Linked DNA regions of Cricetulus griseus. The protein of the gene in region 5 purifies or fractionates together with the protein of the main gene of each other region. This does not show direct contact. Links are inferred from orthologs where the notes say so. Each region holds a gene or a part of one and is shown on either strand. Other genes may lie near its edges.

Region 1 (3,500 bases), on a different chromosome or scaffold from region 5:
TGCCTTTGATACAGTTTGACTTTCTGGTTTTTTTGCTTGTTTCCTGCACACTTAAAGAGAATTTCTGAAACTGTGTAGTCATTTCAAACACATTACATGATTGCGAATCAGTCTAGGGAACCGATAGTAAGTGGGGACCCTTTGCAGAAGTCTCTGGACTTCCTGTTTTGAAAACACATTCAGACTTGATCGACCAAAAGCCACAACAAATGTACTGATAGCTTCCTCCGAGCTAAAGACACCGCACTTGAGGAGGAAGGTGATCACCTAACAATAAACTTCAGAATTCCCTCCCCCGCCAAATCTGTCAGTCTAAAGATGTGCTTACCTTGTGCATGGGCAAGAACTCCTGTGCTCAGCAGATCTCTAGTGAGAAGTTGGTCTAAATTCTGTTTATTTTTGGAGGTTCTGGGGCTTGAACCTCAGGCTTTGTACCTACTGGGCAAGTACTCTGCCACTGTGAGCTACCCCTATCCCTCTCTTCACTGTTTCTTGTGAGATAGGCCACAGTGTATGCTTCTCCGGCCTCAGCCTTTTGAGTAGCTAGGCTTAGAATAGATACCCAACTTCCTAAAAACCCAGTTCCTTTAGAAACATCACCTTTACTCTAGAAAAACAAACAAAACAAAAAAAAAACAAAACCATGGGCCTCAGTTGTGCTCCCAAACCTCTGGTGTACATGTATTTTAAATTTTTAAAATAAAGTTAAGTCTTTTTTTAAAAAAATGGAAGCGGCTGCTGGCAGTGCTCACAGCTGTCCAGCTGGATGCCTCTCACACTACACTCAACCTGGTTTTTTCACGCTACCTGTGCACTGGGGGTGGGGTGGGGGAGGTATCTGCAAGTTAGCTATTATTTTATTTAGAACATTCCAGAAGTGGTCATCATAGATATTAACAAGTGTGGGAAATAAAACAAGAGGCTCTATGCACACCCTGAGATCCAGGCTGCAGCCCTTGCTTTGAAGGAACTGACTCAGGATTTGGGTTGACAGCCGAGGGAGCAACCAGCGTGGTGTTCGTCCTGGAGGTTGTCCTGACTCTGCTGACTGAGGCCCTGCTGTTGATAGTCAGAGTCCCTCTGACTTATCAGGCCTAGGCTAAAGGTGCTGGATCAAATGGTTAACCACAGGAATTAGCATTAAAGGTGGCTTCTAGCTGAAACAGAATCATAGACCTTCAGGCCTTTTAGGAGACTGCTGAGATCAGATAAGGGTGGTGGAGGGAGTTGGAATTGGGTCTGTGTTTGGAATTTGACAGCTGTCATAGGACACATAGTTAATGTGTAAGAGAGGGTGGATTCTCAAGACTCTGTAAAGCAAGTTACGTAGTTACTTACCCCACATCAGTTAAGCAGCCTAAGAACTTTCCAGATTATCAAAGAGGAATCGTGGTGACTGTTGCACTGGCTCACAAGCCATTTTTCTTAGTGAGTAAAAGACCTTCGAGAAAGGCATATGGAACATGGGCATTAAAGGTAGTTGGGCTGGGGTGTAGCTCTGTGGTTGGTTGTTGCACAAGTCCCTGGGGTCAGTCCTCACCGCCATACAAAGTAATTGGAACAAGATGTGGTGCCGGCCTGTAATAATATAATAAGAAAGCACTTGGAATGCAGAGGCAGGAAAATAAGAGTTCCAGGCCAGCCTGAGATATATAAAAAGACTGCCTCAAAAAAAAAAAAAAAAAGAAAGAAAGAAAGAAAGAAAGAAAAGAAAATCTAACATGAATGTATCATTGGAGAAATGACATTCCAGGCTTGGCATTATTATTGGTTTATTTATTTCACCCAAGCATCTGAACCCAAGATACTGTTACAAATGGTTAAGCCATCGTTGTATATTGTCAGGACTAGATGCGTGGCATTCTCCTTATTGTGTGTTTAAATAAGCCAGTATATCCTGACCTTGTGTCACAGGTAAGAAAACTAGTATTCATTTAACCTAAAACAGAAAAATATTCTTGTTCTTAAACTTTCACACTGGGTGGGCAAAGCTTCTAGAAGACACTGTGTGTGTCTTGTGGACAGAGCTGCACTGTTGGCCGCTCACTTGACAGGCAGTGCTGAGGGGTGGCTTGTGACTGTTCTGTCTCCTCACCCTCAGTCCACCTGGAAGGCTGCTGTGGTGGAAGGATGTTTGATTGCAGAGATGTGGTGTTCATTGTTGGTGAAGGAGAAGACCACGACATTCCCATTGGAATTGACAAAGCCCTGGAGAAAATGCAGAGGGAAGAGCAGTGTGTTTTATATCTTGGACCACGGTAAGAAGCGCCCGTTTCCGTATGCAGTGTAGCTGTCTGAAGACCTACTCTCTCACTCGGTGCTTTTGCTATCACAGTGAGGTCATTGCATTGAGTCAGGTGGTAGTCGGGAAGTTTGTGAGCGGTTGGCTCAGCTCAAGTATGTTTAAGAATAGGGCAAATAAGCCTTGTTTTTGATTTGTTCCTATGCCATGGTGCCACATCAGCAAAGATTGGCTGGTCCTCTTTTCTGTCCTCTGAGTTCAGCAGGAGAGTGCTGAGAGCTGAAGTAGGGCATGATTTACTACCCCTTGAATGCATGCCACATTCTTATATGGAGTCCCCGAAGGAAGAAAAAACCAGCTTGTTCTTCCTGGATCTAAAGACAGCGGAGATGACTCATTTTTGCCTAAATCTTTCCCGTCATAAGGATAGCCATTAGCACTTCCAAGCTTAGAACTATCCGGCACTGACAGTCTCTTGTGAAAACATGTTTTGTATTATTTTTGGTCTAAAATTGTACCATAAATTCAACTCTTCTATCTTGAGAAATGGGCCCTGAGAGAATCCAGGGATGCCTGCATGCAAGAGCATCTCCTTGGCCAGAGTGGCCTCACGGGCTCACAGATTGCAACTGGCAGATCTGAGTTCTGAGACTCTTCGGCCTGCCCTCACCCCTCAGGGGTCCCTGACAAAACGCCAGTGCTTGTCTATAATCCTGTTCCTCAGTAGTTTTAGCCATGCCCACACTTCCTTGAAAGTTCTTCTAGAATGCTCTGTCCTGATCCTAAAGCCATTACGAGGCCCCTTTGTCTGCTGCCTTTCTCTCAACCCTGTTCAGTGCTGCAGTCCTGCTTCAGGGTTTCAGTTTGCAATGGGCTGTAGTTCACTCTACCCTACTTTTTGACTGAAAACTTTTTTTCTCTTTGCAGACTTGCAGAGCAGGTACTTCATAGCCTACAGTCTCCAATCTTTTTTTTTTTTTTTTTTTTTGAGATATCTTCTCACTTTGTAGCTCTGGTTGCCCCAAAACTCAACTGTGTAGACCAGGCTGACCTCAAACTCTGCCTGCCTCTGGCTCCCATGTGCTGGGATTAAAGTTTACTAATCACTTCTAATCTAACATTCCAAAATTACAGGAGCTCCACACTCAGGTGGCGGCTGTCTCAGATATGCTTTCACAGTTGAGCCCTTAAGGATAAGTTCTGTAAAGTGTAACCATTCAGGGACACATGACCCAGATCTGTAAGTCTTAACCCAGCT
Region 2 (3,500 bases), on a different chromosome or scaffold from region 5:
GCTCCACATCTCCACGGTGGCTCTGCTATGTTACTGCAAAAGTGTACCTGTCATTGTCACCACATGGACATCACCACAGAGACTTTTTCACTGGCTTTAACTGCCCTGTGGATACAAAGCAGGGGACCAGTCACAGGCTCCCAGCCTGCCTTTGTTGCTTTGCTTTGTGAGATAGGGTCTATCTATGTAGCACTGGCTCTCCAGGAACTTGCTATGTAGACCAGGCTAGACTCAAACCACAGAGATCTGCCTGCTTCTACCCGAGTGCTGGGAGTAAATATGTGTATCACCATGCCAGTCAGAGTTCAGTCTCTGTGGATGACTAAGACCAGAGCTGAGTCCACAACCTTATAGTGTCTCTGCCTAACAGGTGCCTGCCTCACTTTTGCTGCAGTAGGAAACAAATCAGTCAGCAGCACTTGGGAGCCAGGGCCTCCTGCCAAGGGAGCATCGTTTCCCAAACAGCAAACCCTTCTATTCAGTGCAGGCCATGCATTTTACAAGATAGGGCTCAACATACCATTAGCTATAAAAAGCATGAGGGTTTTCCCCAGCTGCACAACTACGCTCTACACTTAATTACCAGGTCACTTCATCTGCAAAGGGACAAACAGATGCCCTGGCTTGGGGTAGGAAACAACAACAGTATTGATGGGTTGTGTACCCATCATCATGGAGGGGAGGGCCAGGTACTCGACACACCTGTCCTTGAGGCACTGACTAATCAGTCTGTCTCAGTGTGACTCCCTGATAAAGAAGACCAACTCAGATGTCATGTAACCAGGGGACTTCCAGATGCTGAAGGCCAGAGGTCCTGAGAGTTCAATTCCTTCTGAGCTAACTAACAACGCACTCACTGTAGGCTGTATTTTATGGCATATTTTTGTAATGCTCCCCTAGCTCATCTGCATCTTACATGTTGCAGAATCTCAGAACTCAGTTCTAGAACAAGAAAGAGGGACAAGCCTGAGGCTGACTTACATCTCCAAAGTAGAAAATGCTATGTAGCTTGTGAATGTTGAATCCAGCAGTTACCAACAGCACTACCACAAGGGCCCGGGGAGTTACCAACAGGGAATGGCTTACAGGGCCACAGTTAGGGAAGAACCTCTGTCCTGATACCTCGTGGCCCTCCACTCCCTCCTGAAAGCACAAGCATGCAACATGCTTGGAGGAGCTGAGTCTGGTTTCTAGGGTGCTAATTAGAGGATCTACACAGAGCCCTGGCTATCACGTGTGCTGGCTTCTGCTCACACAGGCCCCATGGAAACAGTTACATGCCAGGACACTGAGACTCTAGCATGTTCTGTGACTGAGTACAAACCTAACACCCAATTGTGCTGACAGAAGTTACCTTTACTGGAAATTTCAGCTGATTGTACAATTCAGAAACTAGAAGGTTGTGACCAAGAGTCTTTCTCATTTTCATTATTCGGACTATGGCAGCGTCGATCTGGTACTGTCTGTCCTGGAATACTCTCTCTGTGGTACTAACTTGTTCTTCAACCTGGACAAAAGAAGAAAGAACTAGAGGTGTGTAAAGATGTTTCAGTGTTGCTTTGTTACATTGTAATTTGTTCTATGAAAGCTCAACTTTTCACAAGTGTATAACTCTAAAACTAATACTTGGACAAGTAATTTTAAGATTTGTAGTTTTCTTATACAAATGCTTATATTAAGGCTTCCTAGCAGCAAAGGACAGCTGTGAGCCCCTGTGGATACTGGGAACTCAGGTTCTCTGGAAAAGCAACCATTGTTCTTAACCACTGACACACCTCTTTTGCCACCTTATACTGCATTACTGAGTAATTTGAGAATTTGAATATATTTTCTGTCCAGCAAATTGAAAGCCTCACGATGAATGACATAATCATTGTATATGGGAGAGGAGAAATCTAATAATTAAATTTGTTCCCCCTGCCCCCCCCCCCACACTCAGTAAGAACTCTCCTCATATACCTACTTAGACTAAGCATTTCTAGGAATGAGGAGGCCATTAGAAGCCACTGTGTAGCTACTGGTCAGAAGGGCTGGCAGCTTTGGTCTTAAGCTTGTGTACATTTGGGAAACTAAGAAAGAGCCTGCTCCCTGCTGGAATTGCTGTAGTCTGTACATTCTGTGGGAAAACTCCTTCTTCCTCCAAGGCCTAGCCTGGAGCAGCTGACTGTGCCAGGCAAAGCAGAAGGCAGGCACTCGATCTAGAAATCCCATGAGCTTCTTTAGCACTGGCATTCGATACAGGAAGGTATGATTTCATATATGGGCACAGCTGTTACACATATTTCACCACTTTTGCTTCTACTGATAACATAAAATTAATGAAAGATACACGAAAGGGTACTATTCCAAACCCTGCATTTGCACTAGATTCAGACATGTGCTCTGACCTCTATTAGTCAAGACATTACTAAGAAAGGCTAAGGATTCCATGGTGAGACCACAAAAGTGAAGAGAGAAAGCTGGCACTTACGGTTTCCTTCATCTGTATCTGATTGATCTTTATTCTGAACAACTTGTGTTTGAAGTCCCCATTGAAAATGAACTTATCTCCATCTTCTACCTCCTTGCCTTTGGGACTTTTAATCAGAACCCGTGCTTTACCACAGGCAAGAGACTGCAGTGTTCTTCTCAACTCACTGTCCTCTGAGGGAGGCAAAGGAGACACATGTCACAAAACACATGAGACTTAATGACAACGAGAGAGAGCAATGAGAGAGAGCTGGTGTGACAGCAAAGTGTAGGGTCTATGCCCCCCCACCCCATGTGCTGCTGCAGGACTAGGTCCTGTGCATGCGGGGAAGTACTCCACTACTGCCCCTCCAGCCCCTCCTCTTTTTAATTAACACAGTAGTGTCAAGAGCCAGGTGTGGTGGTGCACACCTTTAATCCCAGCAGTTGGGAGGCACAAGTAGGTGGATCTCTGTCAGTTCCAGGAAAGCCAATGTGACATAATGAGACTCTACTTCCAAAATAAACAAAACTAAAACCAAAAAAAGCCACAAGAAATCTTCCTACCTATGCCGGTGGCCATTTTTATTTCTTCAAAGCTGAATCCGTCCCCCTCATTGAACATGAGCAGCACCAGTGTCTGGAAGAGGGACACCTGGAACTCCTTCTTCCCCTTTAAGAAAATGAAGACCATCACAGAGGCTGCTTGGACTCTTTGTGAGTTATAGCAGACTGCTTTATATGCACTGTGTTTGGGGGGATTCAGAACTTGCTAACACCACCAAGTAAGAAGAAATTACTGATTATAAGAGAATGAAATGATTACTGGGCATTGCACTTAAAAAATTCTTGTCTTGGAGCTGGATATGACAACATACACCTGTGAGCCAGTGAGCCTCCTGAGCTGGAGGCCAATTCAGGCTGCTGTGAACCCACTGCCTTTTGCGTTTTAACATTACTTTCCAGACAGCAGGCCTATCTGTTTGCTGCTATTACTGTTTTTAAGTCAATGTCTTGCTATACAATCCGAGAGTAGCCTTGAACTTTCTGTC
Region 3 (2,759 bases), on a different chromosome or scaffold from region 5:
TTGGAAATTAGGAAAAATTCATTACGTACACCATTTTTTTTAAAGATTTTATTTATTCGTTATCTATACAGTCTTCTGCCTGCATGCCAGAGAGCACCAGATCTCATTCAAAGTGGGTGTGAACCACCATGTGGTTGCTGGGAATTAAATTTTTTTTAAGATTTTATTTATTATGTATACAACATTCTGCTTCCATGTATATCTGCACACCAGAAGAAGGCACCAGATCTCATAACGGATGGTTGTGAGCCACCATATGGTTGCTGGGAATTGAACTCAGGACCTCTGGAAGAGCAGTGAGTGCTCTTAACCTCTGAGCCATCTCTCCAGCCCTACATACACCATGTTAAGATAGACAGACAGAGGAGAGAGAGGAGAGAGAGGGAGGGAGAGGAGAGAGTCTCAACTTGGCCTCCTAGTCTTTTTTTTTTTTAAAAAAAACTAGTTTAAATTTATTTTATGTGCATTGGTGTGAAGGTGTTAGATCTCCTGGAACTGGACAGTTGTGAGCTGCCATGTGGGTGCTGGGAATTGAACCAGGTCCTCTGGAAGAACAGCCAGTGCTCTTAACCGCTGAGCGATCTCTCCAGCCCCTGGCCTCCTACTCTTAAACTCAGGCCTGCCTATGCCTCCCGAGTGCTGGGCTACCACACTCAACTTTTTCAAAGGTTCATATATTCCAAGCTTGCCTTAAACTCACTATGTAGTCCCAGAATGACTTGGAACTTCTGATCCTCCTGCCTTGTGTCCTGAGTGCTGGAGTTCAGGCATGTATACTGTGTGGTGCTGGGGATTGAACCCAGGGCCTGTGCTTGCTAGGCATGTGCTCGCTCTACTGATGGAGAGTTACACTCCCTGCCCCTCCTTAATTCCTAATCCTTCTGCCTCCACCTCTCCAGCGCTAGGATAATAGATGTGTGCTGTCATGCCTAGTGATTTCATTTTTAAATGATTTGATTTTTAGACACAGTGTGGGGGAACTTGACTTTTCAGAGTTGTTAGTGTTGCTCATTTGCTTGCCTGTGAATGAAAGTGTCTGCTAGGCCAGGGCTGTGGTTCTGTGTATGACTATTAGTTCTGATTCCATCCCCAGCACCTCCTGAAGGGGGCGTGGAGGCTGAGGGATGGATGCAGGTGGTGGCCATCATACCTGCTTCCTCAGCCCTGGCTCATTCACTTGTGGTTTTCCTATGCTCTCTACTCAGGTGACTGAGCAGTTTGCTCGGCACATTGACCAGCGGATCCAAGGCAGTAGGATGGGTGGAGCCCGGGGAATGGAGATGCTGGCACAGCTTCAGCGATGCCTGGAGTCTGTCGTTATTTTCTCTCGCCTGGAGATAGCCACTACCTTTGAGCATTACTACCAGTGAGTTTGGATCTGTTGAGTAGGAAATGGGGAAGGCAAGCTCTCTGTTGTGGGGCAGGGCCAGCTCACAGGGTCTGAGTCTGAGACACAGACAGGACAGAGTGAGAACTTGGGTCAAACTGGCACCCACGCTGAGATCTGGCCCAACTGTGTGTGCTACAGGCATTACATGGCTGACCGTCTCCTGAGCGTAGGCTCGAGCTGGCTGGAGGGGGCTGTGATGGAGCAGATTGGCCTCTGCTTCCCCAACCGTCTTCCCCAACAGATGCTACAGAGTCTGAGCATCTCAGAGGAGCTGCAGCGTCAGTTCCATGTTTTTCAGCTCCAGCAGCTCGATCAGGAGCTCCTGAAGCTGGAAGACACAGAAAAGAAGATACAGGTGGGTTCCAGGGAAGGGATGGGCAAGGAAGAGGTGAGAGGAGGCCTTCAGCATTTGTGAAATTTGTTCCCTTTCAGGTGGCCCATGAGGACAGTGTCAAGGAGCACAAGAGCAAGAAGGAAGAGGCTGCTAGAGAGATAGCAGCTGTGGCTATGGCAGAAGAGGAGGAGGAGAAAGAGGAGGAGAAAGAGGAGGAGAGGGAGGAGGAGCAGGAGGAGGAGCAGGAGGAGGAGGGGGAGGAGGAGCTATATTATGAAGGGACAATGCCAGAAGTGTGTGTGCTTGTGCTGTCTCCACGCTACTGGCCTGTCACCTCGGTCTGCCACATGCTCAGTTCTACGGCACGCCTGCCCTCATATCTGAGGGGGACTTTAAACCACTACTCCAACTTCTACAACAAGAGTAAGCAACTGGGAAGAGGGCTTGGGCTTTGGGGACAAGGGTTGGCTACTGAGAAAGGGACAGAGAGTTGGAGTAGGTGCTGAAATCAGAAGCCTGCAAGGCTACAACCATAGCATCCCAGCATGCCCTTGTGCAGGGGGTATAGGATTCAGGAGGTAAGACTTCCTTAGAGGGACAGGGAATAGGGGGAGATAGAGGTATAAGTCTTCTAAGACAGGCCACAAGAAAGGGCTTTATGAGTGGGTGTGTCCAGGCATAGTGGAGTACACCTTTATCCCAGAACTCTGGAGGAAGAATCAAATGGATCTCTAAGAGTTTGAGTCTAGCATGTGACTAGCATGGAAGGTAGTCTGCATAGTGAGTTCTAGGCCAGCCAGAGCTACACAGAGACCTTGTCTCAAAAACAGAACCAAAGAGTGGGTGTGTGCTCCTCCCTCAATGGTCACATTTAGTCTCAAAGTGTTGGCTGGAGATGAGACTCTAGACTGGGCAAATCACAGCAGGCGAAGAGCAGAGCCCCCTCAGGAGGCCCAGACAGGCAGGAGGACAAGCCTCTCAACTCAGGGATTTTTGTCTCTAAAACAATTGAACACAACTCAAAGGGTATGGCTG
Region 4 (3,500 bases), on a different chromosome or scaffold from region 5:
AAGGAATTGGGATGCTTTACACTCGCCATTGGGTGGGCAAGTAGAGCCCTCATCTAGTGTTGTACATGATGTCTTCAATTAATGAAAGTGTTTCTACTCTCTACCTGAAAGGTTCTGAATCTCTTCTGTGTACAGTTTAGTTTTTTAATTTATATAGATGATATATGGGATATTCTACATGCTGCGATTTTTTTTTCTTAAGTATTTTAGAAGCTGAGTGGAAACATTCTCTCTCCTCTCTCAGTTTGGCTTTTCAAGACAGGGTTTTTCTGTGTAGCTTTGAAGCCTCTCTTGGAACTCACTTTGTAGACCAGGCTGCCCTCGAACTCACAGAGATGCCTCTGCCTCTGCTTCCCAAGTGCTGGGACTAAAGGCGTGCGCCACCATCTGGTGTGGGAGCATATTCTACCAGACTAGAGTTAGCGGACAAGTTATAACGAATGTTCCACTTGGATGCTCTTAGACAGGGAGCATCCTGCTACAACCCTGTCCTTTGTATTCACATCATTTTGCAAATAAAGCCTTGTAAGCAAAATGTGTTCTGTTTTAAGTAGCTATTTCATCAGCAACATATTTGCATTTTCATCTAGAATAGGTCAGCTTTGCATTCTAAAAATCATTTCATTTAAATAAACAAAACCTTTGGTTGTATCTTTGATATGGCCAGGTATTCACATAGATGGTTGGGTCACTTGAATGTTGTTACTTGTAGAACTTCAATTCTACTGGGCTGTGGCTTTCCACGTGAAGACACCGTGGAAACCGATGAAGACATCAGTTGGCCTTTACTATATCTCCTTGGCACACTCAGCACAGCACCTGTAACTGGTAGTGTAGTGTTTTCGAAGGGTAGGGCTTTGGAGATGTCATTAATACCTAACTTTTCAAATTAATTTTGTCCAAATAAAAATTGATAAATTTAAAGTAAAAATCATTTTGATAACTTCCTATTTTCTTCCTGAGGTTTTGTTAGAGAAGAAATATTGGATTGCTATCGTTATGTTTTTTGTTAAAAATAATATAACACATAACCACAATTAAGGTGAATATTTTTGTAAGTTTACAAATTTGTGAAATAGTCCATATTTTTTTAAATGAGTATGTTAGCTTCCATTATATTTGTTAATAGGTTGATTTGTTATTGTTACTGTTATTTTGTTTTGTTTTAAACTGGAAAGGTGTCAAACAGAGATGCTTTGGAGTAGATTCCTTAATAAGAAGTTGCTTAAAAACTAAACAAAGCAGGTAGGTTCACGTCTGTAATCCTAGCACTTGCCTGTGATCCTAGATTTCACAGGATGAAGACAGAGGAACCAAAAAAAAAAAAGTTCAGAGCCAGCCTTGGAAAACGTGAGAACCAAGGGAGACAGGGTAAAGAAATTACCACTGGTTGTGGTGGACACACCCACAGTCCCAGCAATTCAGGAGGATCACAGGTTCTAGTTGTACTTGGGCTGCACACTTTCGTTCAAGAGCAACCTGGGCAGCTTATCAAGAGCCTGGCTTGAATTAAAAATAGAGCAGTTGCCGAGAGCTAGAGGGACCCTAGGTCTACTACTAAAGAAAAAGCATGAAAGAAAGATTCTACTTCCATTCTGGAAGCTTAGCATGCACTCTGACTGTGTGTGTATATTCAGCCAACTTAATTTGATAATGAAAGAACTTTTTAGTGTTCTTGTGAGAATTTATATTAGCATGTTTTCATACACAACAATTAAAAGTACCTATTTACAAACCATATTATTTTATGCAGTACCTTTTTCAATAAGTTTTGTCTTGATTCTGTGACAAACCAAGTCATATTAAAGCCTTAGTGTGCTTGTATTTAGGATGGAGAAGATTTAATGGATGAGAGTGTACTGAAGTTCTACACTCAGCAGTGGGAAGACTACCGATTCTCCAGCAAAGTGCTGAATGGAATCTGTGCCTACCTCAATAGACATTGGGTTCGCCGAGAATGTGATGAAGGCCGAAAAGGAATATATGAAATCTATTCAGTAAGATGTTTTTTAAGATAAATAATATTTAAATATGCTGTGGCAAGAAAGTAGAGAGGTGGGAAATTGGAGCTGTAAAATAAAGAGTTTAAACAGTTCTGAGTTTACTTTTAAAGTGTCTTCAATTAATTGGCCAGTTATAGTTTGCCTGGAACTGCTTGAGTTTTAGAATCCTAGATGCTGGCAGTTGCTAGCAAATCAGGTGCCTCATCTGAGGATTAAGCTCCTAACTGGGCCCTCATAGTTGTTTTGTTTTTTGTTTTTGTTTTTTGTCTGAGAGTTCTGTATTGAGAGAGGACTAAATTAACTATTGTTGTTAGTTCTGTATTGAGAGAGGACTAAATTAACTATTTTTGTGTTAGACCCTCTGGTTTATCAGAGTGTGACCCTAAATTTGCGTCATCAGTGTCACCTTGGAACAAGACAGAGGTGCAGATCCTCGACCACCTTCTAAACTTAGAGGCTTTAGATGTGGGCCACAGTTGGGGGAAGGGGCAGGGAGCTCAGTTAGCAGAGTGCTTGCCTAGCATGTATGAAGTCCTGGGTTCAGTCTGCTGTACTGTGCATACCTGTAATCCCATCACTTGGGAAATAGAGGCAAAAGAATCATAAATCTGCTATATAACATGTTCCCAGCCTGCTTGTGCTAAATGAGACCCTGTCTGAAAAATAGTGAAGATCAAAAGATCCACAGAGTTGGGGTGATTAACTCATTTGATAAAATATTTGTCTTGTAAACACAGGAACTGAGCTAATCCCCCAGACCCTGTGTACAAAGAGCATGGTATTGACGTTGTAATCACAGTGCTGAGGAGCTCATTGGCCGGCCACTTTATTATTCCTGACAAGTATAAGCCAATAAGAGACTTGGTCTCAAAAAGCAAGGTGGAGGGCTCCTGAGGAGCAACAGCAGAAGTTGTCCTCTGGTTTCTACATACACACACTAAATAAATAAATAGACAAACAGATAAATACTTCCCCAGGTAAGCAGAGTGAAGGAAAATCACTATTTTAGAACAGTCAAGAATTCCTAATAATACTGGACCTGTTAGTATACAATTTTAATCCCAGCTTATGCAGAGGCAGGTGGATCTCTGGGAGGCCAGCCTGGTCTACATACATAGCCAATGCTACATGGGGTAGGAAAATAGACAAACAGAAAACATAAATACTGCTTTTGTGGCATTTATTTTATTGGAGACACTAGTTGGAAAATACTTTTCATAGGTTAAATTTATATGTAATATTTTCAAAAACACATTTTTACAAACTTAATTTTATCTCTAGTTAACTTGGGGGATGAGACTAATAGCATTTATGTTTAATTTCTTGATAGTTTATGTCTAAAAGTGTTGTAAATTTCAATTCTTTTCTAACTTTTTAATACCTCTCCCAACAAACAGTTTTAAAAATCATGTATGAATTCTAACTTTCTTCTTTTAGAGACCATTTTAACAATAATTAATCTTAGTATATTTATGAGGAGACTAGGAATGGAAAAGT
Region 5 (4,259 bases):
TTGGAGGGCACTTGTCTGTTTAGTTCCTACAATTGAAGAGATAACAGCAAATGCAAACACACATTTGATGTAGCAGTCTTACCCAAATAACACACTGTGGGCAGCTTTTCCTTTTCTCTCACAAATTTCATTTCTAGGTAGACAAGAAGGAAACTCCATTGCTTCTGTAAATTAACTACATCTCAATTTTTCTTGACTAAAATCTCTTTGGGGACTGGCTTTTTTCATGTATCATATCAGCTTTAATCAAGTACTTCTTTAAAACAAACAAACAAACAAACAAACAAAACAAGCCAGGCGGTGGTGGCACATGCCCTTAATCAGGAGACAGAAGGCAGGCGGATCTCTGTGAGCTCAAGACCAGACTGGTCTACAGAGGTAGTTCCAGGACAGAGCTAGGGCTGCTACACAGAGAAACCCTGTCTCAAAAAACAAAAATAAATAATAAATAAAAAATAAAAAACAAAACAAAACTTAAAGCTTTAGGATAAACATTTCTCGGTCTCCCAAATGCTAGATAGCTTGCCTAAAAAGAGGCGCTGATACCTCAGAGACCAGGCCCCAAAGCAGTCCAAAAGGAGGTGTAGTCCAGGATTCGAGGCGGCTGAACACCACCTGTTCTTGGCCCCTTGTGCTGGGGTCCCCAGCACGGCCCACGCAGGGGAAGACCCCGGAACACCCGCGTGAGGCCGCGGGATTCTTTCCCGAGGGCACCGGGGCAGCCACCCGCCACTCGGAGCCCTCCCTCCCCCGGGGGCAGACTGGGCAAGCAGCCCGCGCGCGCAGTGTAGACTCAAGCCAGGGTCTCGGGGTCCAAACCTGGAAGAGGCTACGGTTCGTACCTGCAGCCTTTCGGTAGGTGCTGGAGGCCGGGGCACTCGGGCCCAGCGAGAAAGGAACCGCAGAATCAGCCATGGAAAACGCAGTCAGAAGGTGAGACGCTGGCGGCCGCCAGGCTCCGCCCCCCATGCGTCTTCCGGACCGTGCTGGGGGCGGGCCCATGGAGGGAGGGGCGAGCGCTGGAGAGGGTGTACCCAGTCCAGGGGCGGGGCGAGCACCGGAGGGGACGGGCCCAGGGAGGGCGGGGCGAGCGCCGAAGGGTGAAGACCCAGCCCAGGGGCGGGGCGAGCGCCGGAGGAGGCGGGGTCCCAGAGGCGGGGCGAACGCCGGAGGGGGCGGGCCCGACCTAGGGGCGGGGCCAGGAGTGAGGCCTGCGCTGCGGGAGGTGGAGAAGGCGAGCGGTCTGGCGGGTAGGTGGACGAGCTGGCTAGGGCTGGTCCAGGCTGGCTCATCAGGACCCTGGCAGCGCGAGGCTCGCCTGCTAGGCCCCTCGAGGTGCTGGAGCCTGGATGCTCTGCCCAGTAGGAACAGGGAAACAGGCAGGGAAACAGGGAGAAATGGCTCCCCCTCGGCTCAGCCCACAGGCGCGGTAGGGTGTGATTTTGCTGTCCGCGCCTGGGGGGCAGCGATTCCACCAGCCCCCGGGGCCGCATGCTGTGCTGGTCACCACCGAAGGCCTTCTCTTCGGGTGGTTCGGTGATCTCACTGACTAGGTTTGGTTCCTGTGGAGAGGGCAGGTCTTGTGGGGCATGGGGTGAAGGGCGTCAGAGTCTTCAACTTATTTGGGTGACTTAATTGTGTTGGATTTCAGTATTTATCAATGGGACATTTTAAAGATTCCCTAATGATTAGAATTCTTATGCCAGGTCTACCGTTTTTGTTTTTGATTTTGTTTTTTTTTTTTCATGAAAGGAATACTTTCCTCTTTTGAAAAAAAGTTCTTCTAGGAAGTTCTCTCTAGGGTTCTTTTTCTTTTTTAAATCTCTTTTCATTCTTTAGGCAATACACTAGAGGCTTTAAAAATGTTCTAGTAGACTAGCACACTAGCGTTCAGTAATACCATTTAAGCTATAAAAATTTACATTGTATTTATGTGTTTTCTATTAATTCAGAATGAAACAGTTTATGAAACATAATTTACATAGTATCACAACTAACTGTGTTTTGTATTCATTTCATCATCAAGACTAGGACACTTATTAGGAATGGCTGTTGAGGAACTTCAGTGCATAATAAAAAGATGTGTAAGTAATTCTCTAAAACCACCTGTAAAATATGGCAAGGGCATAGATTATCTTTAATTACTTTGTGGTCACTCACATTATTTACCTTATCTATAATTCCAGCTTTTTTTGTTTTTTACTTGTAAATAAACAGCATAAGAGTAGGAAGGTAGATTGGATTTGTGTGTGTGTGTGTGTGTGTGTGTGTGTGTGTGTGTGTGTGTGTGGGCCTTTAATCCCAGTACTTAGGAGGCAAAGGCAGGGAGGTCTCTGTGAGTTTGAGGTTGGCCTGATCTACATAGTGATTTCCAGGACAGCAAGGGCTATAACAGAAAGATGGGGTGGGGATGGGGGGTAACTAGATAGATGGCTCTCAGTGGTGAAGAGCAGTTGTTGCTTTTGCAGAGGACCTTGGTTCATTTCCCAACACTCAGGCCCACTTGTAGCCTTCATGGGCACTAGGCACCTGTGGGCAAGCACTCATACATACAACATAAAAAGAAATCCTAATTTTTTTTTACACTTGAAAAAACATTTTATTTTTTACTGTGTGTCTGTGTGTGTGTGTGTGTGTGTGTGTGTGTGTGAGCGTGTGATCGCGCACGCTCTCAAGTGCCCATAACCACCTGGAGCTGTATAGATGGTTGTGAGACAACTGACCTGGGTGCTGAGAATTGAACTCAGGTCCTCTGCAAGAGCAGTATATGCTCTTATCCATCAAGCCATTTCTCTAGCCTCAATAGCCTATACTTTTAGACCTGTAATTGTTTTCATAGGTTTCTTTTATTCAGTAGGTTCTAGATCATTCATTGAGCCATATGATTGATGCTTATAACCAGCATTCAGAGGCTGGGGCAAGAGGATCTGAAGTTCCCAGGTCAGCTTGAGCTTCATCTTGAGAGCCTGTCTCAAAAGCCAAAATAAATAAAGACAATCACTAAAATATTTATTAGGATAATTCTAATTTTCATTATGTATTCATGTGCCCTTTCTCTAGAATTTAAGATTTCATTTTTTTCCTTAGACAAGATCAGTAAGTCATTCATACTGAATCTATATTTGCATCTGTCCTGTTTTTTAATAGCAAATCCTAGAGGAGTGTGATTTTAAAGAAGAGGATTTTGGCCTCTTCCAGCTAGCAGGCCAAAGATGCATCGATGATGGGCATGTAGACCAGCTCCTGGAGATTATTCAAGATGAAAAGAACAAGGTAAGTACAAACTTTGCGTCTACTTTTCAGTCTTCATTTGGGAAGGGAATAATATTCCGGTGTTATTACTCATTTATCCTCTTAGTTACTGCTGTAATGAGACTCCATGACCAAGGCAACTAGGAGAGGCTGAGAACGGACAGCCTGGTGATTACCTGGTCATCGAGGCTGGGTGCCTCAGAGTAGTCCCACAGTGGCTGTCCCCTGCTGGGTGCCTCATCGGTCCCATCTGGCCCCAGAAGCCTTTGGAAAGGGCTATAGAGCTGCTGGTCCTAGGTCACAATGAAAGCTTAGGACCTCTGGTTCTGGAAGCATCAGGAGCAGCTGTTAACCTCATGCCAGAGGAGGGGAAGGCCAAGGAGCAAAAGGCGAGACCTTCCTTCTATGTCCCTTCTGTCTGTGTCATTACCACACCAATGTAAGCACTTAGGATACCCCTGTACATGAGGCTCCCTGTTGATACTAAAATCAACTATAGCTCAGTTTTATAGTCCCCAATACAATCAATTTTGTGAGGTTTTGTTTTTGAGACAGAGTCTTTAGCCCATGCTGTCCTGGTGTTCTTAAACTCATTGTGTTTTTTGTTGTTTGTGTGTGTGTGTGTGTGTGTGTGTGTGTGTGTGTGTGTGTGTGTGTGTGTGTGTGTTATGTATGTACATGTTTCTGGGAGTGCAGGTGCATGTCAAGCTCAGAAGTCAACACTGAGTGCTTCCTCCATCACTTCCTGTCTTTTGAAACAAGGTCTCTCACTGAACCTGGAGCTCATAGGTTCATCTAGGTTGTGTAGCCAACAACTCCAGGGATCTGTCTGTCTCTGCTTCCCCAGTGCTTGGATTAGCAGAGCATACCAGTGTGCCTAGCTTTTTGTGTGGGTTCTGGGAGTCTGAATTCAGCAGCCCATCTTAGCTGAGAATACACCTGTCAAGGTGAGTGAGTGGCACCATTGCATCGGCAAGGCAGAGGAGGGAGGAGAGCATAGCACACTG
Region 6 (3,500 bases), on a different chromosome or scaffold from region 5:
TTAGAAGCTAAGGAAATAGTTTCTGGACTTAAGCGACCCCAAGGAATTATGTGAATGGGGCTTTTAAAGATTGGTGGTTGTCTGGAAATAAGGATAGGGAATCACTGGAAATATAATGAAATATCTCATTAGAACACTAAACGAGATTCTATTCTATTGGATACCTACTAGTATAGGTCTCTAGATTTTAAAAGGTAATCACTATGTTGTTTTGCTAGTCCCCTTACATTATTTCATCTTCCCCGTTAAACCATCTAGCAAAAATCATTCAGTACCAAAATGCTTGAAACATAACACTGCAAACCAAAAGCTGGTTAAACCAGACACAGAGATGCACATCTGTAATCCCAGGACTTAGGGGGTGAAGGCAGGAGGACTGCTAGGACATGAAGGTTGAGGAAGACTGTTTCAAAATATCAAGAAACCAAAACTTAAAAAAATCTAGGTAAAATTCTCATGTTTCTTTATAATGACTCTATCACTCTTTCTTATTACCATGAAACTATTAATAGGGTTTAAAATTCCTTCTGGAGGTTTGATACAATGTTCAGAATTCAGCATACCAAGATTTACCATGACTCAGATTATCTTATTTGCCCTCCACTTTTTCCTTCTACTTTGTTATTTTTATCTTATTTATTTATACTAGAAACAGTCATGTTTCCAGGGCTGGCCTGAAATTCCTTATATAGCTGAGGACCTTGAACTCCCGATCTTCCTGCCTCTGTCTGGTTATGACAGGTTATGCAGTGCTGGGGGCTGAACTGGGGCCTCACAATGACTGTGAGTCAAGGCATTTGCAGACTAGCCTAAGGACCTAAGATAGATTCTCAGATCCCACATGATGGAGGGATCCAATCCACCCCCAAGTTGTTCTCTGATCACCACACCTGAACAGTGGCACAATATCCATCTTATATTAACTTTTTAAAGACTACTTTTAAAATATGTGTACATATGAATCTGTGTGTATATATGTATCTATGAGTGGGTATGTGCACCCAGAGTACAGGTACCCATGGAATCCAGAAAAGGACATCGTCAGATCCTCTGGAACAAGTGTTACAAGTGGTTTTTCTGGGAATTAAAAGCAGGTCCTCTACTTGAGGTATATATGCTCTTAATCACTGAGCAATCTATCTAGCCCATATAATATTAATTCTAATAATGTAACTAAAATAGCATTTTGTTTTTTAGGAGAAATGATACAACAGATCTTTCCCACTAAAGCAATACTAAATATTTATGCTGTTAAATAAAGAGGTGTGCAACAGGTAAATGCACATGAGGTGTTTCCTTTTTTTTTTTTTTACCTTTTCCATATACTGTGAGCAATTTGATTCTTGTAATAAATTTGAAGCTTCTTGCTTGTAATATTCTCCTGTTTCAGTCAGAAAGGGAGACACAAAGATTCCCTGATAAAACTGAAAATCAATTAAAATTGTATTAGTAAAAACCAGAACATTTCAGAAATTAAAGGTCTCATCATGTTTTGAAGTAGACTTTTTACCTTTAAGGGAAATTTTTTCTTATACTGTTCAACATGAACAAAGGAGTTAATAACCCCATGGATTACTTTCTGGTTTGGGTCTTCACCACCACGATCACTGAAACAAAGTATAACACAACATGCTTGAGAACAGTCATCTGTGGACTTATACCCCAGTATGCCAATATACAACTGCTAACTTAATGCCCTAATAAAAATTATGAGGTCAGAACACATGTATAAAGCTTGAAACAGTTTTTCTTCATCTCATCATCATCATCATCATAGCTAATAGAAATCATCTCAATAAATGTGATTCGATGGAAAATGATGTGCTGTGACTATCACAGATATAGTTCTTCAGCTATAACCACCAGACACCTGGGCTTCAGTCAGCATCACATTGTACTGAATGGGGAGGAGAGAAAAGCCTCTCCAAGCCCCAGCAATCAGACAGGAAGAACTAAGTAACATTCAAACTGGGGGTGGGGGAAATAAAAGCATTGGTTTACAGATGGCCTTGGGGGGTACAGGGGACATATACCACAAAGTTTATACTACAACAACAAAAAAACTATTAAAGTAACTGAATCCATTTGCAGAATACAGAATGAATATACAGAAATCAGTAGTAGTGCTACTGTTGGCTAGTAGCAAGTTATCTGAATCAGAAATTAAGAAGGTAATCCCATTTTGTATTTGCTTTATAAAATAACCAGAAAAACCTTAAGAATGAAGAAATTAGAGTGAACTCAAAATTAATCAGAATTGACAGAAACACACTACATGCTAATAAAGAACAACATATCAGATCAGTCAATAAACTAAACATTAACTCACCAAGGGGATTAAAACCCCATACTCACTTTTTGATTTCTCTGAGCAGCATTCGGATGAGGATGTCCTGAAGGGGTTCAATCATGAGCTTCCTCCACATGTCCAATGCTAGCTGCCAGGAAAAACAGAAATCATCAAGGCTGAATTAGGTAGATTTTTTTCCTTTAACATTCATTCTAGGATCTTGTAAAATAGAAATACCCATCAACAGAAATAGTATCGGTATTTTAAAATACAAGTAAAAACTGAAGGAAAAGAAATTTCTCATTTAAAGTAGTCATCATCCCATCAGAATTATAAGTCTTGTGACATAGCAGGCCGACTCAATATAAACAGGAACAAGCAGAAAATCACTCTTCCTCCTCTTCTCTTCTCTGGGAGGCACCATGTGAGCTGGAGTCCTCGATCAGATAAGTTCTTATAAATTATATAGACTAATAGTTATAGTTGATATTTAAGACTGAGCTAGCAGTAAGAAATCCTAGTCATTGGCCAGCAACACTGTACCTAATATAAGATTCTGTGTGTTATTTTGGGTGCCTATGTGGCAGCGGGGCTTGGGCAGCTTGGTGGAAAGACTTATCATTACACACATATACAAACAATAATATTTCAAATTTAAATTTAAAAACAAATTATGTTTGAAGTCACTTAAAGAATTTCTTACCTCTCCTATTTCCATAAGTGGTTCATTCATATCTACTCCACCGTAGCCATATTGTAAATCGGCTTCTGTCAATTTATTTTTTTTAATATATTGGGTATTGAGATACCTGAAAATTTAACACAAGTACAATGGATGTAAACTCAAAATCAGTTAGGAAAATAAATAACTCATGAATCTAGAATAGTAATTTTAGGGTTAAGTTTAAAGACTAATTCAGTGATAACTCCAAAAGAAATTATATCCAAGTTAGAAATAAATGAAAACAATATATTATTAGCCCTGGACTTTCTGCAAGGGTTACTACACCAGAAAGAGTCCACTTAGCACAGGCAGCAAGAATTAAAACAACCAAAACAATTTCTCCTGTATGACAACCAACCCTGGGTTTAAGCTTTTGCCTCAGTTCTCACCGTACTGCTACTATTTCTCTTTTCTTTTCATTAATTTATTTACTTATTAGTTTTTTGAAACAGTGTTTCTCTCTTGTGTAGCCATGGCTGTCCTGGA
Region 7 (3,500 bases), on a different chromosome or scaffold from region 5:
CAGAGGACTGAGCCGTTGGTATTATTCCCTTCTCCCAGGTCTTCTGGCAGTCAACTGGCCGCACCTACTGGGTACATTGGCACATGCTGGAGATCCTGGGGCCTGAGGAAGCTACTGGGGATTCCACTTCAGCAGCTGTGGAGAAGAGAGACGGGACTACTGTATTGGGCACAGGTGAGCTTAAGAGAGGACATGGGAAGCATGTTTCAGAACCAAGGGGCTCTGGCTAGCACTCAGACATTTCTGAGTGGGGCCTGCCCAAGAGGTTCAGAATGACCTACTCCTGCAGCCTCAGCACTTCCCTCCTGGGACTGGAAGCCTGCATATGGCCTGTACTCACTGCCATATCTCCAGCCTGAGCTCCAGAAGACTGAGGAGTCAGGATGCCTGACCCAGGCAGAGTGGTGGGAACTACTTTTCTTCATCAAGAAGTTAGACTTGTGTGAGCAGCAGCCGATTTTCCAGAGTCTGCATGAGAAACTGGATAAGGTACCAGAGACCTGAGCGATCTGGGCCGAGGGATGTGGTGGGTTAGAGACGGGCGCTTCAGGGCAAGTTGTAATTGTGGGTGTGTATGTGGCTGGAGAGCTAACAGTTGAAGCCTGTGAAGATCCTTCCTGCTAATGGAGGAGGCATGCTTTGCGGGTCTAGTATGTGGAAGGTATAAGGGGTTGGCAGGGTGACTCTTCTCATGACCGTCCCTAGGAACTCTGTGTCTGTTGGTCCCTTTGTATTGACAGGCCCTCAGTGAAAAAGCCCTAGGTGAGATCTCTGTGCCCAGAGAGATGGCAGAGGGGGTGCTGCAGGTTCTCAGTAACCGCTTTGAGGGCAGCAACCTCTGTGACCTGCTCAACTCCCAAATCTACACCAAGTATGGGCTAATGCCTGAGGACATGAGCAGCTTGCCTTCTTCACGGAGTCACTCCTGTACCCCAGAGCTAGAGGAGGAGTCAAAGTCGGCAGCCAGCATCTCAGAGGAAGAAGCTGAGTCCTGCAAGGCCAAGATTGAGGCCTCAGAGGCAGGGCCTGCTGGTCCAAAGATGGAGTGCCCCAAAGCACAGAGTGATTCACAGCTGTTCAGTCAGCTTCTGGTGAAAGAGGGGATGGCTCTGTCCCCTGAAACACAGGAAGCAGCTACTGGTGAGTTGGGTACTAGGAGGGGAAGGCAAAAACATTAGAGTAAGACATGCCCTGGCCCAGTAGGGTAGAGTGGAGGGAAAACCATGGAGGAAGTGGGGGGAGGGGAGGGAAGGGAAAACCGTGGAGGAAAGGCCCTTTATGCTGGAAAAGCCTGGAAAGCACCCACATGTCTCCCTCCACATGGACATTATTATCACTATCCGATAGTCACCCGATTCTTCAGTATCCTCAAAAGAGAAGAGTTTGTTTCTAATGCATCTCCATCTCTCTCGTGTGTGACTAGATCTCTCCTGTACTGTTGGAAGAACTAGGAATGCTAAGCTACAGTAGTGAATGCCATTGATAACAGACCTGGGCTTGACTTTAAACCTCCAGCTTGGAGGAGTCACAATTGTTTTAGCTACTACTTTTCTCTCACTAATTACAGAAATGGCCAGAGCCTTGCGGGGCCCTGGTCCACGCAGCTCCCTGGATCAGCATGTGGCAGCAGTCCTGGCCACTGTGCAGATCTCCAGCCTGGACACAGACCTGCAGCTCTCAGGGCTCTCTGCCCTCTCCCAAGCTGTGGAGGAGGTCACTGAGCGGGACCACCCTCTGGTCCGTCCTGACAGATCGTTGAGGTTAGCATGTTGCTGAGGGAAGAGGTTTGGGTTGAAGCTGCAGCCGTTCCGGATGATGGCAGGAGGGAAGGAGTTATAGAACCAAGAGGTAGAAGGGCTGGGATGAGGGAGAGGTGGGGCCCGAGGGCATTAGAGCTCTTTGCATACCCTGAGAATTTACTGTGTTCTCATTAAACCAGTCTACCCCACAGTAGCAATGATGCCGTTAGTCCTATGCTAGTATTAGTGTTACAGTTTACATGAGAAAACTGAGAACTTCACTCACTTGCTCACAGTTCTGCAGATGGCAGAGCCAGGATCCAAACCTAGGCCCTTCTGGCTCCAGTGCTTTTCCTTTAATTTTTTTTTTCAAGCCAGGTGTGAGGCACATGTCTAACCCTGGAACTTGGGAAGCTGAGGCAGGGGGATCATGAGCCTGAGGCCAGCCTGGGCTGCATAGTAAGACCTTGTCTACAGTTTTCTTTCCTCTCTTCTTTTACTTCCGCCCCTACTTTATTTATTTATTTATTTATTTATTTATTTATTTGGTTTTTCGAGACAGGGTTTCTCTGTGTAGCTTTGGAGCCTATCCTGGCACTCGCTCTGGAGACCAGGCTGGCCTCGAACTCACAGAGATTCGCCTGTCTCTGCCTCCCGAGTGCTGGGATTAAAGGCATGCGCCACCAATGCCTGGCTCTCTTTTTATTTTTAAAGTCTCATCTGATTTCATTATTACACAAGTGCATTATCATTTTTAAAACAGTTCATATAAAGGAATATTGAATGACAGCCCTGCTGGGATGTGGTGGCACACACCTATAATCACAGAACTCAGGAGTCAGAAAAAAATCCGAGGTCAGCCTGGAAAGAGAGGAAAAAAATTAGGGTGGGCTAGTAAGAAAAGAAAGGAGGAGAAAGAGAGAGGCGTGGGAGGAGGTGGCTCTGTAGTATTTGAAGCGGGATACAATCCTGGATCACAGCTCATAACAGAAAAAAGTCCCTTTCCGTCATCACTGTCGGATGGACCCTTCAGACCATCTGCAGGGTTAGTATGGAATCGCACGTTTAGGGACTAGAGAGATGGCTCAGTAGTCGGGACTGCATACTGTTTTGCCGAGGACCTGGGTTCGAGTCTCAACACCCACATTAGACAGCTCACAAACATCTATAACTCCAGTTTCAGGGGATCTGTTGCCTTCCTCTGGCCGCTATAGTCACCTGCACCTCTCATGTGCACACACACACACACACACACACACACACACACACACACACACACACACACACACAATAAATATTAAACATGCAATTTGTTTGTAAGGATTTTTATAATATTTTAAAAGTATAAATTAGGTATTTTAAAAATCTGATGCATAAAAGCATTAAAATTGTGTGTATCATTTGGGTGTAAATAGCAAGTAATGTATTTGTGTTTTGGTGTCTGTGGTGTGGCCACACTCGAGTGTCTGTGGCATTTTTGTGTCCCCAGCCAGTGTCTGTTGGAGGATTTTCTGGTGTCAGTTATCACAGAGCTGTTCATTATTTTCAGTGCTGTGTAGAACTGCGATATGGCTGCAGCCAAATTCAAATGCACGGCTCTACAGTCTCCATTCCCCTTCCCTTGACTAGCATAGTACTGCTTTCTGATGGATCAGATTGGTGTGTGTGTGTGTGTGTGTGTGTGTGTGTGTGTGTGTGTGTGTGTGTGTGTGTGTGTGTGTGTTATGTGTACTGTGGCACGTATGTGGAGGTCAGAGGACA

The links.
Region 1: the proteins of Glmn (region 5) and Fkbp5 purify together in Homo sapiens (affinity purification with mass spectrometry; 3 studies listed by BioGRID and IntAct, with this or other methods). This does not show direct contact. The link is inferred for Cricetulus griseus from reciprocal best matches to the Homo sapiens genes GLMN and FKBP5.
Region 2: the proteins of Glmn (region 5) and Cul4a purify together in Homo sapiens (affinity purification with mass spectrometry; 5 studies listed by BioGRID and IntAct, counting the BioPlex papers as one, with this or other methods). This does not show direct contact. The link is inferred for Cricetulus griseus from reciprocal best matches to the Homo sapiens genes GLMN and CUL4A.
Region 3: the proteins of Glmn (region 5) and Cul7 purify together in Homo sapiens (affinity purification with mass spectrometry; 4 studies listed by BioGRID and IntAct, counting the BioPlex papers as one, with this or other methods). This does not show direct contact. The link is inferred for Cricetulus griseus from reciprocal best matches to the Homo sapiens genes GLMN and CUL7.
Region 4: the proteins of Glmn (region 5) and Cul1 purify together in Homo sapiens (affinity purification with western blotting; 4 studies listed by BioGRID and IntAct, counting the BioPlex papers as one, with this or other methods). This does not show direct contact. The link is inferred for Cricetulus griseus from reciprocal best matches to the Homo sapiens genes GLMN and CUL1.
Region 6: the proteins of Glmn (region 5) and Cul2 purify together in Homo sapiens (co-immunoprecipitation; 4 studies listed by BioGRID and IntAct, counting the BioPlex papers as one, with this or other methods). This does not show direct contact. The link is inferred for Cricetulus griseus from reciprocal best matches to the Homo sapiens genes GLMN and CUL2.
Region 7: the proteins of Glmn (region 5) and Cul9 purify together in Homo sapiens (affinity purification with mass spectrometry; 3 studies listed by BioGRID and IntAct, counting the BioPlex papers as one, with this or other methods). This does not show direct contact. The link is inferred for Cricetulus griseus from reciprocal best matches to the Homo sapiens genes GLMN and CUL9.

The regions. Positions count from the first base shown.
Region 1 is NW_023276806.1:233,539,780-233,543,279, reverse strand, and holds part of Fkbp5 (peptidyl-prolyl cis-trans isomerase FKBP5), read left to right. Parts: intron 1-2,101; coding exon 2,102-2,258; intron 2,259-3,500. UniProt on the Homo sapiens protein: Immunophilin protein with PPIase and co-chaperone activities. Component of unligated steroid receptors heterocomplexes through interaction with heat-shock protein 90 (HSP90).
Region 2 is NW_023276807.1:67,637,486-67,640,985, forward strand, and holds part of Cul4a (cullin-4A), read right to left. Parts: intron 3,122-3,500; coding exon 3,016-3,121; intron 2,644-3,015; coding exon 2,471-2,643; intron 1,508-2,470; coding exon 1,355-1,507; intron 1-1,354. UniProt on the Homo sapiens protein: Core component of multiple cullin-RING-based E3 ubiquitin-protein ligase complexes which mediate the ubiquitination of target proteins. As a scaffold protein may contribute to catalysis through positioning of the substrate and the ubiquitin-conjugating enzyme.
Region 3 is NW_023276806.1:256,079,058-256,081,816, forward strand, and holds part of Cul7 (cullin-7), read left to right. Parts: intron 1-1,205; coding exon 1,206-1,366; intron 1,367-1,528; coding exon 1,529-1,745; intron 1,746-1,822; coding exon 1,823-2,147; intron 2,148-2,759. UniProt on the Homo sapiens protein: Core component of the 3M and Cul7-RING(FBXW8) complexes, which mediate the ubiquitination and subsequent proteasomal degradation of target proteins. Core component of the 3M complex, a complex required to regulate microtubule dynamics and genome integrity.
Region 4 is NW_023276806.1:222,448,551-222,452,050, reverse strand, and holds part of Cul1 (cullin-1), read left to right. Parts: intron 1-1,829; coding exon 1,830-1,997; intron 1,998-3,500. UniProt on the Homo sapiens protein: Core component of multiple cullin-RING-based SCF (SKP1-CUL1-F-box protein) E3 ubiquitin-protein ligase complexes, which mediate the ubiquitination of proteins involved in cell cycle progression, signal transduction and transcription.
Region 5 is NC_048600.1:2,356,788-2,361,046, reverse strand, and holds the start of Glmn (glomulin), read left to right. Parts: upstream 1-1,459; 5' UTR 1,460-1,491; coding exon 1,492-1,553; intron 1,554-2,026; coding exon 2,027-2,084; intron 2,085-3,147; coding exon 3,148-3,273; intron 3,274-4,259. Other genes in the region: putative RNA polymerase II subunit B1 CTD phosphatase RPAP2, read right to left, coding at 1-26, 843-969.
Region 6 is NC_048596.1:210,663,900-210,667,399, forward strand, and holds part of Cul2 (cullin-2), read right to left. Parts: intron 3,100-3,500; coding exon 2,994-3,099; intron 2,439-2,993; coding exon 2,356-2,438; intron 1,608-2,355; coding exon 1,511-1,607; intron 1,425-1,510; coding exon 1,314-1,424; intron 1-1,313.
Region 7 is NW_023276806.1:255,963,366-255,966,865, reverse strand, and holds part of Cul9 (cullin-9), read left to right. Parts: intron 1-38; coding exon 39-174; intron 175-289; coding exon 290-489; intron 490-740; coding exon 741-1,140; intron 1,141-1,567; coding exon 1,568-1,760; intron 1,761-3,500. UniProt on the Homo sapiens protein: Core component of a Cul9-RING ubiquitin-protein ligase complex composed of CUL9 and RBX1. The CUL9-RBX1 complex mediates ubiquitination and subsequent degradation of BIRC5 and is required to maintain microtubule dynamics and genome integrity.